Oreochromis niloticus: one gene and its partner. The protein of the gene in region 1 purifies or fractionates together with the protein of each later gene. This does not show direct contact. Links are inferred from orthologs where the notes say so. Each region holds a gene or a part of one and is shown on either strand. Other genes may lie near its edges. The genes, in order: dhx8 and nudcd1.

Evidence for each region.
Region 2: the proteins of dhx8 (region 1) and nudcd1 purify together in Homo sapiens (affinity purification with mass spectrometry; 3 studies listed by BioGRID and IntAct, counting the BioPlex papers as one, with this or other methods). This does not show direct contact. The link is inferred for Oreochromis niloticus from reciprocal best matches to the Homo sapiens genes DHX8 and NUDCD1.

The regions. Positions count from the first base shown.
Region 1 is NC_031973.2:6,133,065-6,141,511, forward strand, and holds the start of dhx8 (ATP-dependent RNA helicase DHX8), read left to right. Parts: upstream 1-4,870; 5' UTR 4,871-4,953; coding exon 4,954-5,062; intron 5,063-5,339; coding exon 5,340-5,425; intron 5,426-5,503; coding exon 5,504-5,576; intron 5,577-5,676; coding exon 5,677-5,768; intron 5,769-6,321; coding exon 6,322-6,428; intron 6,429-6,584; coding exon 6,585-6,956; intron 6,957-7,121; coding exon 7,122-7,266; intron 7,267-7,554; coding exon 7,555-7,761; intron 7,762-7,880; coding exon 7,881-7,968; intron 7,969-8,215; coding exon 8,216-8,313; intron 8,314-8,447.
Region 2 is NC_031985.2:12,075,476-12,084,779, forward strand, and holds the start of nudcd1 (nudC domain-containing protein 1), read left to right. Parts: upstream 1-5,721; 5' UTR 5,722-5,855; coding exon 5,856-5,970; intron 5,971-7,111; coding exon 7,112-7,266; intron 7,267-9,304. Other genes in the region: transcription and mRNA export factor ENY2-2, read right to left, coding at 4,079-4,155, 4,911-4,985, 5,080-5,150, 5,254-5,321.

The DNA of each region.
Region 1 (8,447 bases):
TGGACTTTACCGGAGTCAGCTTTTATGTCGTTGTACCAATACTCAAGTACATAAGACACTATATATGGTTGCTCCATAGTCTAGTGGTTAAGATATTTGCTTTACAAATGAAAGGTTGGTGGTTTAATTCCAGCTGGAGACACAAATCCCTTTAGGGTTGTGTCAGAGGAAAGGCATCTGGCATAAAGCTCTCTGAAGTCAAACTATGTGGGACTACTAACTGTTTTGACAACAGAGCAGCCAAAAGTAGCTTTTATAGTATACTGTTTATGCTCTTGGTCATGGAACAGAATCCATGGCATGCAGTATATACAACAGTGCAACATAAGCTTGCAGGACAGTCTTGTGTGTTTTGGTAGATATGGAGTAAGAGTTCCCTTAACACAGTACAGGGTTTGTGTCCCAATGATCCTAGGGGCTATGTTGCCTTTTGCCCCTGACAGTGTTTCCTGAGGCAAACTGGCCTGGTGAGGGACCAGACAAAGAGTGATTTAGAGGACTCCCATGAAAAAGAAAAAATCATGGGACCAGTTTATCCTGCCCAGTATAGGGTTACCAGGGCACCACTCTGGAGCCAGGCCTGGGGAGGTAGCTTGAGGGAGAGCGCCTGATGGCTGGGCCTTAGCCTATGGGGTTCTGGGCATGTTCTATTGGAAGGATGCCCCAGGACACGCTGGAGAGATTAGATCTTGGTTAGGCTGCTGTCTCTGATAAGCAGGGCATCATTGATGGGGGATTTACTCATTGCTATACCAAAAATCTTTTGGCATGAAGAAATTCATCTGACAGAGCTGTAAAACATTTTGGAAACAGCTAGTTCATCTCTCCTTAAAGCATCTAAAAACACTAACAAACAATAGTTAGTTAGTCGCTAAGTGCCCTTGGAGAAAAAACATCTATTTGTTGATTGTAACAAGATTCCAGAGAGTCACTGCATCTATTCACTAAGAAATAGTTACAGCACTTAACTTGCCCTGAAAACATATACTGTCGTCTGTGTATTTAGATTAAACAAACAAGAGACACTGTGTTAGCTAACAAGCTTTAAATAGCAACAGCATAAACTGTATAAAAGATGGGTGTAGTCACTGTGAAGTTCCCAATTAGTGAAGTTCATTAATAAAGCCCTAAGCGGACTTTTATTTTTGCTGTCAGCATTGTTGGTGAGTGTGGTGCAGATCTGCATGAGGAGCAAGAACACAGTAAAGTATATCTCCACATTTCAGTAATGGGGACCATCTTTGTTATATTCAGTAGAACTTACATCAGCACTAAGCCCATAGTCTTATGGGAGACAAGTGCCAATTTTCTATAAACTTCTACACAACCTGAAATGTCATTGCGACTGGAGTGGTCAATAGAAAGAGTGACCATTTAAGGCACTATCACACTGACTTCATTTTTTAGATTTGGAAAGTACACCCGTCTTTTATATGAAGTTCAATTAAGTGAGATGAGTTCTGAGTCCCAGCGATGATTGTAATTTGGAAAGGATACCTCTAGAGTCCAGATGTTAGTGGTGGTAAAGATGAAGGTGTAGGCTTGGATGAGGCTCTGAATGACCAGGGAGAGGTGGAAATGGGAAAAAGGGATGCATGAATGGTACTCTTAAAAGCAGAATGACAGAAGAGTATTGAGATTACTGAAGCGCACACGAAAGAGGCTTATTGGCTCACAGAAGATGGGCAAGAAAAGGACTGGTCTAGAGTAACGGTGCCATTGCTGATCCCATTAAAGTTGATTCTGTCCATCTGGACATAACATTTTCAGTGTGAGAAGATGAAATGAAAAAACTATGTCTAGATGAACAAAATCATCTTTCTCAGATTTCCTTACCTGGATGATTAAGCATGCACCAAGACATGGTGTCAGTATTGAGTTTGACAGCGTGTGAAAGAAGAAGCAATGTAAAGAATAGAGTTGTAGCCTGAACACCCAGGATACCACACAGACGCGTGATTACTGGTGTTCCTTACTGAACATACCCATTAGCTTCATTTTTTGGGTAATAGTATTTGTATGCTTTAAGTGAAGTAAGGGGCTCGTTAGAAGTGCCAACTGCATGTTTTAACATGACAATATCATAGCATGCAAAGCCAGATGCAGATTTTCTGACCTCATCTCTATTCAGAAGCCTTGGGATGAATCAGAGCACCAAGTGTTAGTGAGACTTTATCACCCAGCCATGGTGCTCAACCTCGCTAATACTCTTGTGGCAGAATCTGAGCAAATCCCTGAAGATTGGAGGCCATTGTTCCAGTAGATTAATGCCCATACCTTTGGAATGAGATCTTTTACAATCACATATGGGTGTAATGTTCAGGTGTCCACACATTTCTGGGCGCACTGTGTACATGCTTTGAACTTTTGGCAGCATAGACAGTACCAGAGAGATAAACAGTGAAATAAATTCCAGATTGCATTTTGAACAATGTGAGAGTGGGAGAAACTGACTTGCAAAAGATCATGAGGGATTTATTAGGAAAGCAGTCTGCTGCAATGGGAGATTCTCCATGAGAATCCCTTTCTGGCTAAGTCATACCACAGGAACAAATGGAAGGATGTGATGGCAGAAATGTCAATTGAAGTAAAAAGAAAAAAAAAGATTAAACATGAGTGAAATTCAGGACTCGTCTAACACAGCAAAACACATGGGGACATAATGTTCTTTTCAAAAATGATAAAATGTCAGAAGTTATGTGGATGTTATGTGAAAACAAGGCTCTTAATCAGGATTAAACTGGTGTGTGAAATAAGTAGTGTGTTTATGGATGGGTAATGAGGATTGATTTTAATAAGGAGATTACAGGCAGGAGGCTTGTGAGGAGGGAGCCAACTAGACACCAACTGAGGGAAATGTGTAAACAGACAGATGGTGGTGTGTGTGTGTGTGTGTGAACATGCACTAGGGTTCATAAGATGGGTGGGGTGTCCATTAATCGCAGGGTTAGCGGTTCGATCTCTGGTCCCACCCTGTGCCGAAGTGTCCTTGGTTAAAACTCAGAGCTCTGGGTTTTTCCCAATGGTAAACGAGCAGCTTACATGGGAGCTCTGCCCCCTTTGGGGTGCATATGTGTGTGTGAATGAAAAACAAAGGGCTCTGCAGAGCAAAGTTGAGGTTTAAAAGCGCTATAACAGTGAAGGCAATTTATCAGTCATGAGATCAAAGCTGGGAGGTATCCAAGGAGTAGACGAGGAAGGATGTCTCCTGTGCAGTGCATACCAGAATTTATCATATAAACATAGCTTTTTGTAGTAAGTTAAGATGCAGGTGATACAACATACAGTCATGATTTTCCTTGCACCTTTACCTCATTGAAACGTTCTCAAGACTCCACAAGAGATAAAACAGTTAGTGGGTGAAGAACTATGAATCAGCAACAGTGGCAGAAACAAAAACAGAAGTAAAGTCATAGCGTGAAACTGCTTTAAACGTTCACGATTGCACAGCATGATTCATTACTAGAAACTGAATTTTTGCTGTTGCAAAACACTTTGCTTCTCATGACCCGTACACACAGTTCAGCATAAACTGTATGAAAAATATGTGGGTAATCTTTAAATTTTCATATGTGCGGTTGCTGAACATTTCATGGCAAATCACTGGTCATTCATTTTCTACCGGCCTCTGCTCTTGTGTGAAGACCTAACTGCAGAGAGTAGTTCCCACAAGCATTTGCAATTTCATGCAAATGTGTTGGATGGGGATGAGGTAAGGGCTGCTTGCTACTTAAGCATAAAAAACCTTATCTTAATGGACTGTGTATGTGCATGACGTGCTGAAACAGAGGACTGTCTTTACATTCTCTGGCCAAAACCATAAAAGTCAAGACAGCAACTATACCTGTCCACATACCATTAGTAGCAGGGTTGAGGTTTTCTTTTATCATTTCCAATCCCCTGCACTCATCAGTGGCAATTAATTATTCATTGCACTGCAACGTTTTTTTATGCAACAAGGCAACAACAGACATTTACGTTTTGAAATGCATCCCATGGGCCATAGCTTGATCATCGATGAAGCTATGGCTCATCATCATAACATCACCCACTGGTTTTTGGATCTGCATTTCAAAGCCTCATCTTTAGCATTTTGCCCATTTTTATGTTGATATTTGTAGCCAGATGTGTATATATTTACCTGTTATCATGCTGTATTCATTCACTTTATGGGTGCAAAGAACAGCTATATACTAGAATTTCACTCACCAAAATGATGTACCAGATTCTTGGCATATTTGCACTAAAATGGGCTGAAAGAAGTTCACAACATAGAGAAAGGTCCACTGGTGAAAGGTTTACTTCAGTGCTTCAGATTACTGGGGGTGAAGCACAGAAGACAATTGTCAGCTACAGCTCCCTGTGTCAGCACACCTGTCAGTCAAAACAGCCACACCCAACTTATTACTTACCAAATTCATTTATGGTGTTAGGTTCTAAACATGCTTTTTTTAATGAAGTGAAGTTTAGATGCTTTAATAAGGGAGTCTATGGGGATTAACTTGCTTTCAGAGCAACCTCAAGCGAACATAAGAGGGGCCGGCTTATTTTTTCATCCCTGGCCACTTGAGAAGAACATAAAACATGAAAAAAGTCAATTTATCATCTATATTGTGGCAAAAAAAGAATGTATTAAACATTTGCACGAATAAACCATATACAGTTTATAAAACAAGCACAGAAGACAAAATAAGGAGAAAAGCATATGTGCTAAGAACTGGCAAACCTCTTGCAAACGACATGAAATGAAAACCCCACATGTGAAGACATCTGTGGTGGAGACGTTTCAATTCTAAAAATTTATTGTGAGGGTCTTGAGTGCCATCGTGTGGCAAGTAGGAGCCAGACCTTGAACTCTACTAAGTGTTTCCGTAAAGGGCGGAAGGGGATGTTGCCCATATCCAATATGTCTGCCGGCGTCTACGTTGTGTGAACAAAAACAACTCGTGGACGATGGCAGACATCGGAGTCGACGAGCTATCGCAGCTCGAATATCTGTCTTTAGTGTCGAAAGTCTGCACGGAGCTTGACAACCATCTGGGAATAAATGACAAAGATTTAGGTACGTATTTTATGCCTTTGAAAAATCGCCATTCGCCAAAACTAGCTAGCTAGCTTATGCTAACTAGTAGTTGTTAGCAAACTAGCATCTGTATTAACTGTCAACATATGAGTTCTTTTTGGATTTATTGTGTCGTTTAGTAGATTTAGAAAAAAAATTACATACTAATCCTTCACAAAATTCGTTGTAGGTCACTTTTAATGCTGGGATATAAACTTCGACAGTTATGAGTCTCATCTAGTTCCTCGTTAATTTGTTGTTTGTGGTTCCTTTACAGCTGAATTTGTCATCAGCCTTGCCGAAAAACAACAGAGCTTTGATGGATTCAAAGCACTTTTACTCGAAAATGGAGCCGAATTCACAGTAAGTTAATCCCTACGAGTTGTTCGTGAAGCTCATTGTTATTCAACTAAACATTAACTTTTTCTTCGCTTATTGTAGGATTCTCTCATCAGTAATCTGCTCAGGCTCATTCAGACGATGCGACCTCCATCCAAAGCATCTACAAGTAAAGGTAAAGTAGTTAGGCTAGCTGTAAACTGGGCAGCTAATCGTCCCAAGGACATATTTTACTCCTTAAAAGTGACATTTCTAATCGTGTACTCCTCTTCCAGCATCCGAGTCCGTGGCTAAGCCGAAGTCAGAAAAGGAAAAGCTGAGGGAGCTGTTTCCTGCACTGTGTAGACCAAATGAGCCGGCACCGAAGGTATGTGGCTTTATCACACTGTCATGAAGCCGCAGTGTCCCCATTATCTTTATTGCAAAACAAGCTTGTACACTTGGGCCCTGTACAAAGAAACGATCTAAACACACACAGGGTGTCTTTCTGTTGGCAATCAGGCTAAGCGGTGTCACTAAGCTGGTTATCATTTTGATAAGTGAACCCAGGATTTTCCTCTTTGTGTTTACATGAAAGGGGTGGTGTTGGCAGTACAGGTGGGCGATGCAGCCTCAAAATTACAATATTTCAAGAAAGTTTGCAATAAGATTTCTGACAATATATACACAAAATACCAAATGTTTTATTGATGCTTGTAGACAACAGGATTTGTAATTGTAAGTAAATAAAGGGCATTTTTCATCCTCCCATGTCTAACATACGTTGCTTTGAAGCACTCACAATCTCATCAGGTTTTTAATTTATTCAGCTAGTGTCCTATGTGGGGTTAAAAAGTGGGTAAATAAAAGAAAAAACAAACACTAAATAGAAATGTTGACCAATTTATGTTGACTGATTTTTGTTATACTGAACTTTGTAGGCTCTGCTGGATGAAGATGATGTAAAAGTAGCAGCTGATGCCATGAAGGAACTGGAAATGTTCATGCCCAGTGTCAGCGGGACAGACTCCAAAGGGAGCAAGAACAGGTAAGACTCAAGTCACTGGTCACATTTCATTGTCATGTTGGGTTTATTTAAATCTCTGACACCTGTGCTCCAACTAGCAAACTTGCGACGGCTGTTTGAATTCAGGATATTATTGTTGTTTATTTTTATGTATTTCTGACTCTTCTCCTCTCGTAGATCAGAAAAAAACAGGCGAAGTCGCAGCAGAAGCAGAGAAAAAGACAGACACAGAGATCGAGACAGAGATCGGGAAAAGGACCGAAAGAGACGGCATCGTTCCCGATCCTATTCCAGATCCAGGTCACGCTCCAGAGACCGTGATCGGCATAGAGATAGAGATAGAGACCGTGGCAAGAGAAGAGACAAATCTTCCCGCTGGTCTGAGCGCTCACCTAGTCCGAGAAAAGACCAAGAGAGAGAGTCTGACCGCTGGAGGGACAAACATGTGGATCGCCCTCCACCTGAGGAGCCTTCTGTTGGTGATATCTACAATGGAAAGGTTACCAGCATCATGCAGTTTGGATGCTTTGTTCAACTTGAGGGACTCAGGTTAGTATAAGGTTGCAAACATTGTATAAATATACCTTCAGTTTTAAAGGGGCCTGCTGGTTACCAAAGATGTTTTCAGTGCATACCATTTAGAGATATCTCCTCTTTTGTCCTGTCTCTTATTTCATTGTTAAAGTTGTCCATGATCATCTTCTCAATTTCTAGGAAGCGATGGGAGGGTCTGGTCCACATTTCTGAGCTGCGCAGGGAGGGCCGTGTGGCCAACGTGGCCGACGTTGTTAGCAAAGGCCAAAGAGTCAAAGTCAAGGTGCTCTCATTCACAGGGTCCAAGACCAGCCTCAGTATGAAGGTAAAAAAAAAAACAAACGCACATAACAGTGTGTTTATCAGTTGATTTTAATAAAGTATGTACTGTGTTAAAGTGAAGGAAGTTTTCAGATGTCTTCCTTCTGATCCTGTCTGAAGAAATAAGATTTTGATCAAATAATTTGTGCTTAATTAGTTTTACATTTATTGTGTCATAAAAGTATATATTTATTCATTCTGATGAATTTCATGTTTTCCTTGAGATTTTTCAGCCGTTGTATCTCAGCTCCGGGTACAGATAATGAAACGTTTTTATTTCCTCCTTTGCCAGGATGTAGACCAGGAGACGGGAGAAGACCTGAACCCCAACAGGAGGAGGAACGTCGGCCCCGACGGAGGAGAGGAGATCTCCATGAGGAATCCTGATCGGCCGAGCAACCTGAACCTCGGCCACGCGCCGGAGCTGGAACAGGATGACACACTGGAGCGCAAGAGGCTCACCAAAATCTCAGACCCAGAGAAGTGGGAGATCAAACAGGTGGGTTCACATTTGAAGTGGCTGAAGCTTCGTTTACGTCTGTGCATCTATCTAATTTTAAAAGGTGTTTGTTGAAAAAAGAAAAGAAAAAAATGCTCTCGTTGTGTAAATTTCCTCAGATGATTGCTGCCAATGTTTTGTCCAAAGAAGAATTTCCTGATTTTGATGATGAGACAGGCATCCTTCCTAAAGTTGATGATGAAGAGGGTAAGAAATTGTTTTGTCTATGACTGAACTGCTTTAATAAATGAGTAATTCATGCTAGTAAAAGCACTTATATACAAGATAGTATTAAATATTTATACTTCATGCTAAAATACTGAATTTATTTAAATACTTGATGACTGTTTTATTTTGTTCTTCTTGAATATTTAAATCGTGTATTTGCTCTTGTTCATGTGAACCATGACTAAGTGTGACCTGATTCCTAACTGGTTGGTTTCATTTCATACAGATGAAGACTTGGAAATTGAGCTGGTTGAAGAGGAACCACCGTTTCTGAGAGGCCACACAAAGCAAAGCATGGACATGAGCCCAGTCAAGATTGTCAAGGTAACAGTAGAAGTTTGAGTGAAAGGGAAAAAAAAGAATAAACTAGGAGTAAATTTTCTAATCATTATCAGGCCATAAAGTTTTCCAGCACCCTGCTGTGATTTATAAATTGGATTAATTATATTATAATTCTG
Region 2 (9,304 bases), on another chromosome or scaffold:
TTTTCCAGTGTGACATTTATGTGAACAAAACTCACCAGCAGTGAGAAACCCTTTTTAACCTCTTGACTGGGAAACAGTGTGAGTTCAGGGACGCGCACTACCTTTTTATAACGTGCTCAGGGTCCCGCCCCTCACCTGAAACTGGGAGGAGACTGGAAGAACATTTTGCCGCATTTATCAGATTTTCAAGATGTCTGCATTTAAAAACAAAACGAAAGTGAGTCAAAAGCGTGATAAATAATGGCTCCATGAACACGGAGCGTAATGATCTATGAAAATGTGGAGAAAGAAGTGGAGCTATAAAAAGCTAAAGTTTGCAAAGTTATACACGTTTTGCATTTGTTGAGTTTCAGTAAATATGGCCTTTGTGTAGCCTTTGACTTTTTCACACCACCGTTTCATGACTGCTGGATTAAATTTGCATTAAAGTGCAATCATTTTCGCTGTGCACAATGTGCTCTTGAAGTGGTCTTCATGTTATTCTGTCCACGTTTCATTTATAAAACACATCGTACAGTAGTGCTTCACATTAGCCCTTTCAGTCTTTGAGTGTTTGTAAAACTGTCTGTGATCATAACAATGATAAATAAAACTCCTTGTGATGCTTGCAACCTTATATTAATTGCAGATTTCCTCTTCAACTAATTTGTGCCTGGAACCATAAAAAGAAAACAGATCTAAAACTGGCAAACAGTAAATAATAATAATAATAATAAATAATGTCAAACATAGTTCACTGACAGATTACAGACCAGTCTCTTGGTGACCCTTTTTCCTTTAGACTATGTCTATTTAAAAAAATCCAAACAATGCATAGAAAGATTGCCTAATTAAATTCACCAAAGTGGGTGTAATATTCATAAATATGAAATGATTCGAAGGGTGTCCTCATGACTTTACAGATGGAATCACGAATGCCAAACCGCTGTTTACCTTCAGATGCCTGACATCAGAGAAATATTTCAGCATGATAATCATCCAAAGCACATTGTCAAAAATCACACGAGTGTTTCAAGAACAAAAAAACAAGTTGTTTCAACTATTTCACCTGACTTAAATCCAACAAAACACCTTCAAGGTATTTAAAAGAAATGTAAAGTAACAAACCTCTTCCAGATTGTTACCAAATTGTCTTTGAGCAATGACGTGACGTTGTTCTTCAACACAGGTATTCTCCATGTACACCTGTACAGCTTTGTTGTGATTGCAGGGGATTTTAACAACAGCAGTTTAAAGACTGCTCCCTAAGTTCAAGCAGAGGTATGAACATGCTGGACTTATAATCAAACCCCCACCCCCACCTCACCCACTCTGATCACCTTTCTGTTACGCCTGAGCCTGCTTACAAACCATTCCTGAAGCGCAGCAGACCAGTGAGAAAACAGACCAGGATCTGGCCAGAGGATGCAGCCTCAGCACAGCCTCAGCACTAAAAACTGCTTTAGGAACACCGGGTGGGGGGTGTTCAAGACAGCAGCCTCGCAGGGAGACCAGATAAACAATGTGGAGTACGCAGAGGCAGTAAACAGCTACATTGCTAAGAGGATGTCACTGTAGTTAAGACCTTCACTGCACGTGGCAACCAGAGACCCTGGTGGAGGATGAGACTGCTCTCCGTGTGGCCAGGTCTGCGAGGGACACCTCTGCGAGACAGGAAACACCAGACGAACGTGGCAGGGAGTACAGGCACTGATGAATTCCAAACCCATGCAAGGGGTCAACAAAGATGACACTTCTTTTCCGGACAGGTTTAATAACTTCTTTGCATGCTTCCAGGCATCAAACTGAACATACAGAGGGAAAGTGGGTTCTCCATTATCTGCAGGGCCAGCTGTTATCATAAGTGCAGCAGATACCAGAGGACCCTGGCCAGGGTCAACCCACGGAAAGCTGCAGGTCCAGATAACATCCCAGGACATGTGCTCAGAGACTGCACTGGTGAGCTGGCAGATGTCCTAAATGATATTTTTAACATCTCCCTCAGTCAGGCCACCGTACCCAGATGCTTCAAAACATCCACCATAGTGCCAATAGCAAAGAAACCAGTTTTATCTTGTCTAAATGGCTACGGGTCCGTCACATTGACAACAATTGTGATGAAGTGTTTTGAACAGCTTATCAAACCACACATCACAGCCACCCTTCCTGCATTAATTGACCTGCTCCAGTTTGCTTATCATCCTAACCACTCCACAGAGGATGCATTAACCACCACCTTGCACTCAGCCATCACCCATCTGGACATATGCCATACTCCTATTGATTTTAGCTCAGTGTTTAACACCATCATTCCACAGAGACTACTAGAGAAACTCCACTTACTGGGGCTGAACACCACACATGTCTTGGGAGAAAGATCTCCAAACCCACCACGCTGAGCGCTGGATCTCCTCAAGGATTTGTTCTCAGGCCGGAAGATACAGATCCAGCACACTCCTCTCAGTATCAGCGACTGCCCAGAGAGTGGAAGACATCAGGTTCTTGGATGTTCAGATCTCGAAGGACCTGAGCTGGGACAAGAGCATCTCAGTGATCACAAAATGGGCCCAGCAGGGACTGAATGAAACAAGCCTCTGTCCCCTCCAGCATCCTCAGGACTTTTTACAGAGGCATGTTCTACGGTATATCAGCGTGGTGTTCCAGCTGCAGTATGTCAGACAAAACAGCACTGCAGAGGATAGTTAGAGCAGCTCAGAAGGCCCTTGGAGTTTCCCTCCCCTCTGTCTAAGACCTTTTCAAGAGCCACAGCAGGAGCAGGGCACTGAAAATCATAAAGGACCCCTCACCCCCCCTCAATTCTTTGAACTGTTGCCATCAGGCAAACGGTTATAAAAGCCTCCAACAGCTTCCTCCCACAAGCTGTTAGAATGCTGAACTGTTGATTTGGTTATGTACACTATCATACCCAGGAGTCTTTAGAATTAGTTTTAATTAGTTATCTTTCTTACTCAGTTCTTTATTTATATAGTTATCTTTTTTTTCTTTTAAAGAGACTATTTTACAGTGATGCGTCTGGGATGCATGTGTGTCTGATTGTGCAGGGCAGGGTGGTTGCATGATGTTTGTGTGTGTTCTAATATTTTTAAGACCCTGAACAAACACCCTTTCATTTTGCCTGCACTACGGCAGTATGAACAGCAGAATTGAGAATTTAACATTTAACAAGCTAAATGAGGCCTGTAGAGTCTGAGATGTAGCTCATATATCAAAGTTTTATATCAAAATTTGCTGGGATGTCTCCATTACGTGTTTTCCACTTGTGACTGACTAATCTTTCTCACTGTAGAATGATGAGCTTCAAATTATTTAGAAATATCCTTTACAAACTTCCAAGACTGATGGGCAGAAACAAGTGCTCTTCGAGATCATTGCTGATGTCCTTCCACCTTGGCACTGCATTAACACACCGGAAAGCTCCAGAGCAGGGAACTGCCAAAACTTCTACTTTTATAGAGGTGCTCACACTTGCTGATGATCAGCTATTCAAGTGCATTTGATTAGCAGCTACTTAGCCTCTTAATTCCTATGGAGGCAGTAATGATGTACTTTTTTTCACACACTCTTTTTGTATTTTGTGCAGCAAGTTTTGTTTTGTTATTTATCTGAGATAATATTTATCTAATTTCAAGACATGTTTAAGACCAGATCATTTTTTATTAACTCCTGATCCGTAAAACCTACTGCCAATCAACATTATTACTTCTGGGTGTATTTTCTCAACAACTGTAAATAATTCAAAGTTTGAGATGCAATTATAAGTTTTTGGTTTTTCGACATGGGCGACAGACTGGGGACCTGTCGAGGGTGTCCACTGCCTTTTTCACTAAGACTTAATCTGTCTGCACTTTTGGGTTTGGATCAACCAGACAGGTAGCAATTACAACAAGAATGACCAAAATAGGCATGACTTTATTTTTCTTCTCCAAAACTGCAGCATAAACTAAAAATCAATATGAAAACACACAATACAAAATAAAATTAGCACTAAAATGAACACAATAAACAACAGTTTGGATTTCACTCGTGGATCAACAGTGAGTAAAAACAAACAAACAAACAAAAAAGGGAATTGTGTCATTCACAAGGTTGCATGTTGAGCTAAAAAAGCTCTGATTCTCTGGAGGAGTTCTTTCTTCACACTGTCTGGTACGAGTGCTGCAGAGGAAAGAGATGAAGAGATGAAGAGAGATTAAGTCAGAACACAGAATAGAAACTTACATACTCACACAACACGATACTTTTATTGTCAGAAGTTGTCATCCTGTCAGCTGTTTCTAATATTTTTTCTATGTATGTTATAATGTTGGCCTGGTAGATAAAATATGACTTTTAAGAGGCACCAGCTCCCTCTACAACTTCCTACGAAGCTCAGAAACATTTCCAGAAATCACCATGCCATGCACGAATAATGGTTAATATCCAATATCCAATATGCACGAATAATGGAAAATGATCCAGAAACACTGCCATCTTCTCTAGGCTAAAGCTCATTTAAAATGACTGAGGCATCTGAAAGTGTTCTTCAAATGGGCAGTAAATGTCCAAAGAAAAACTCTGAAAGACCTTCAGAAGGTCTGAAGAACTACTACTGAAGACCAGTTTAAAACAGTTTAGAGAAAATACAGCATCTGGCTCCTTGGAAGAAAAATATAAAGAAGTGAGGGGTGGTTCAAGACTGTATATCAGGGAAACCTGAAATCGTAAGAGCTGTAATCAATAAGTAGTGCTGACCTACAACATTAGCAGTTTGTTAGTTAGCATGCACAAAGATGTATTAGGGATAAAGATGATGTGCAGTGCTAAATAAATAAATTGACTTGTACATCTAAATCAACGAAGCAAATGAGTATGCTCATCACTTCTAACAGTCTTCCTCCCCCTGCTGTTGTGTTTGAACATCTGTACTGTACCTCTGCCTTTTGGTGTGACCTCTGTGACCAGGTCCTCCACTGTGACATGCTCCAGGCCCTTTTCTCTGATCACATCTGGCTCAAACGGGAGGTAATGACTTTAGTGACTTTTGTTTTTATAGCACCACGACATCATCGCCGGACACTAACATAAGCACAAGTCAAATACCTTTGCAGTGTGCTTTCAGCTGATCCTTCCACCCACACTCCACCAGCTTCGCTCTGAGCAACTCTTTCAACCTGCGGCCACACATTTAATTCACATTATGTGACTTAATATGTGCAATTCAAAACCACGCCAAACCATCCAGCACCAAATCACTGCAGTGAAAGACTCGCTTACCGCTCCCGTTCCCCCATCTCTATCAGCTTCTGGTTTATTGCAGCCCTCATCTGGGAATCTTTGCTCATGATCCGCCTGAAATTAAACACACACACCGACACAGTCAGCTTGGACGCAAGAGTATAATAAAAACATATATTATAATGTCTAATTTAGCTCCCTATCAGGTAGCCGCTACCGTTATCGAGAAGGATCAGCTGGGGAACATAAGGTCCCTTTACACAACGGAACCGTCTAAAAACGTTTAACGCTTAAAAGTTCCGGCTTTGGAGTGGTTAATCTTTCAACGTCAACCTGAATAACCAATGATAGTCTCATTAGTGTTCAAAATACCTGTTTAATGACGAAAAATATAATACAATACATTTAAACTGAAAACACTAAATTAAATCAGTTACTTAAGCATTTCAAGAGAGATTAGCTCAGGACTCAACTTCCCCTGCGCCCTGGGAGGTTTTGTCCGCCGTAAAATAGCTCCGTGTGAGAAAACAATGACGAAAACACAGGAAACGTGTATCACGCTGGCTACACATCACCCTCCTCCTCTTGCTGCACACAGGCTGTCATCAACTTGTGAATAAGCCAGTCTCATTGAAAAAGACATGACTGCGTCTAACTACTCATTGAAGGTCAACAGAGACCTGTTGGACCCAAACTTTGAGAGTTACAGGTTATCCTTGGACGCCATACCGACGTACAACATAGAGCTGGATGCTGGTGAGAAAAACTTAATGCAGTGCAGTTAGCAAGTGTGCTAGCCTAGCCCTGAGAAAGGTCCAGTATAACTTCTGTCCAGTATAACACTAAATAGGAATAGCAATGTAAGTTATTTGAAATTATCTCAGACATTTTATTGGCTGTCACTACGTCACGACGTCAGCTGTTGATGCTACATAATATTTTGGCAGCTGTATCTGTAGCTCAGTGGCTCACAATGAGATCTTAAGGTCCACCACTGTAACCTAATGAGCTTTCACACGATCACTAAGAAAAATCTGAACATTAGCATAGTTTAAACCACTGAAAATTAACAGATTAACGCTGAAGTGACTAATTACTACAATTTGTTCTTCATACACATACATAACTCATTTATATTGCCAGGACAAGTCAAGTGCACCAATCTTAAATAACTTAAAAACAATCATAGGGATGTTATAAGGTTAGTTTTGTAATACATGTTTTAACTTCAAGCTCTTAACTTCAGTTTGAGCAATACCAAATTAGTGGGGCTGCTGATCCAGATATGTACTTTAGTGATTAAAACGATAAGGGATGGAAATAGAGCAGCATTTTTAAAATTTTGCATAATCATATACCAAAGCTTGCTAATTCCTTTTAATCGAAACTCAGGCCAGCTGAGCTCACCAGAGTTGCATCTAAGTGTTTTCTACTACGTCTCTTATCCAGTTTATAAAACAGCTAGTGTGGGTCGAAAATCAACAATCTATGAAGTTTGTACCTAACAGGAGAATTCATTATAACATTGGTTTGGATACAATCTTACTGATATAAAAAGGTGCTTACACTTTGCACAGACATCCACTCACAGTAGATTCAGGCATGCATATTACAAGGTGATTAATGTGCTTTAAAAAAAAAACACGATACTTTATTTAGTGGGAACAATTCAGACAAATAGTAGCTGTAAAAAATAGTTAATTGCAGTTTTTTGTCACCGATAGTTCATCTTAGAGTAAAATGTTGAAATATTAAGATATGTTAAGATATATGTAACACTTTCCACAAAGCAACTGTAGGAAAGGCAGAAGGGTAAACTGCTTTTTAAGTAACAACATAAATAACAGAAATTTGATTACTGCCGTATTTAATCTTTTCTTTTTCATATCTGCCGCAGCCGTGGAGGAGGTCAAGCTGAAGGACACTCAGTACACCCTGGAACATATGCGTGCCTTTGGGATGTATAATTACCTGCATTTAGACCCCTGGTATGAGGACAGTGTTTACTTTGTGGACTGCAAAGGACGGGTCCTCAATCTCACCGTCACTCTGGTGAGTTTGCAAATCCTCTTGTTTTTTGGGGTTATTTTTGGAAGTCTATATTCCTCGGCCTGTTTATGATTGTTGCCCCTCCATTGATGTCTAAGGTGTTTTCACACCTGCACTATTTTCTATGTGATGATGCACATTGTTCCACACACGAACATGGTAATTGTGCTTGCAGTTTTTCCTATGCAAAAAGACACCAAACAAACAAAAACACAAGTATGTAAGGTCATCAAGTGATCTGGAAGAGAACATCAAGGGTGAAAACACCATAAGAGAGCAATCACCGATCTTAATAAAAAATCTTTGATATTCATAAAACTAGCTCCTAGTGCCAACATTTTTCTTAATTTCTAAGAATTTCTCGCTAAAGTTACAACTAAATCTTGAAAAGGTGAAAGTTATTCACAAAGCATTTGCTTCTAAGATAAAAAAAACTGTGTGGAGTGAAAAGAAGGACTTACTTAGGAGTTCCTTAAGCAGAGGAGAAACTGGCAGAAAGAAGAAGCTTTGCCACTTTTTTTTCACCCTGTTGATTAAATAAAATCTTTGCGCTTTGCATAATAAGGTTAATTTATCTTTTTAAGCGTTAGAGGAATACAATTTGATGTAACACTTAAGACAAACAGAGTCTAACATTACACTGTGTGGTTAATTACAGCTGACTAATGGTAGTTAACTTGCCAGCATAATAACAGTGGTTTGGCAGCTGTAGAAACAAGCCACAGGTCAGTCTTGTGCATACATTAGTGCCATTAGTCTGTGCTCCAAATTCAGAATAACAGTGAGGTGATTAAAGCTGCAGGTTACATGTTTCATGGGTAAAGACTGTAGTCAGTATTCTGTTACATCTAATAATAAACTCAGCATTGACAAAATCATCATCACTAAAGTGTTTTGGAGCTGGAAAAATGCAAGTTGGGTCTGCCCAACCTTCATCAGCAGAGCAATCACGCAGATAGCTTTCACAGCCTCATGCTGTGAAGCAGTTTATTTTATTTTTCACATCTTAGAGCGTTCACAGACATGATGATCTCCCTCGTATTATAGCAGTAAATCATAGAATCTGAACAATTTTACTTATTATAATAATTTAGATCAATTATTAAATTTACCATCATGGCAAATGGATTTAACCTGAAATCTAACTCTCACCATGGGAATTTACGTAATCTGAGAGTTTCCTAAATCACAAGTTTGGAGTCTTTGCAAATGTTTTTAGGCAAATTTAGGAGCTCTTTGTTTTACAGTGTTGTTTTATGTTACCATTATATAACGTTTCATATTATGGGCCTGATGTTGTGATGGTGTATTCAATGAAGGATTTTTATGCGCCTGATGTGCCAGTAGGTGGTGACCAAACACTTGAGCATCAGCAGGTTGAGGGAAGAGAAAGGATGTCTGTGAAACACAAGAGTTTTAAAAGTTATGTTAAATTATATAATATTATTTCTAACCTTTTTTTTCCTTGGTCAAGATGCAAAATAATAAACGTCAGAATAAACGTGGCTCTTAGTATTTAGTCTGAAACACAACTTTCTGTGCAGTCTTTTGTCTGTCGTATGAATCACCCGAGCACATAAAGTTTGGATGAGCCCTTGTAGGTCTCCAGTTAATCACAGGAGCGATTATATAATTGACTCAAGGTTCTGATTGGTATTGTTACCCCGTACCAAGATGTTGAGATGAGGAGCAAAATCGTTCTCATGACCTTTTCAATCGAGCCTTCTTTTATGTCTTAGTCATCATTGACCATAATTAGACATAATTGGTGTCTCATTGGAGTTTTTTTTCTTTGATGATCATCACACTGTAATCCTGCGAGACAGTGTTTCTGGCTTTCAGTGGCACCATTAAATGAAATTTATGGAAAAGTGTTGCTCAAATTCTAATTACAGTGATCACATGATAATTATCATCCTTCAGCCTTTTGTGCTCGGTTGCTCGGCACATTGCACATAGAGGTTTCACACTCCGTTTCAGGGCATTAACGACACGGATGCTGGAGAAAGTGATACCAAAGGTGCATCGTACATTAGATAGC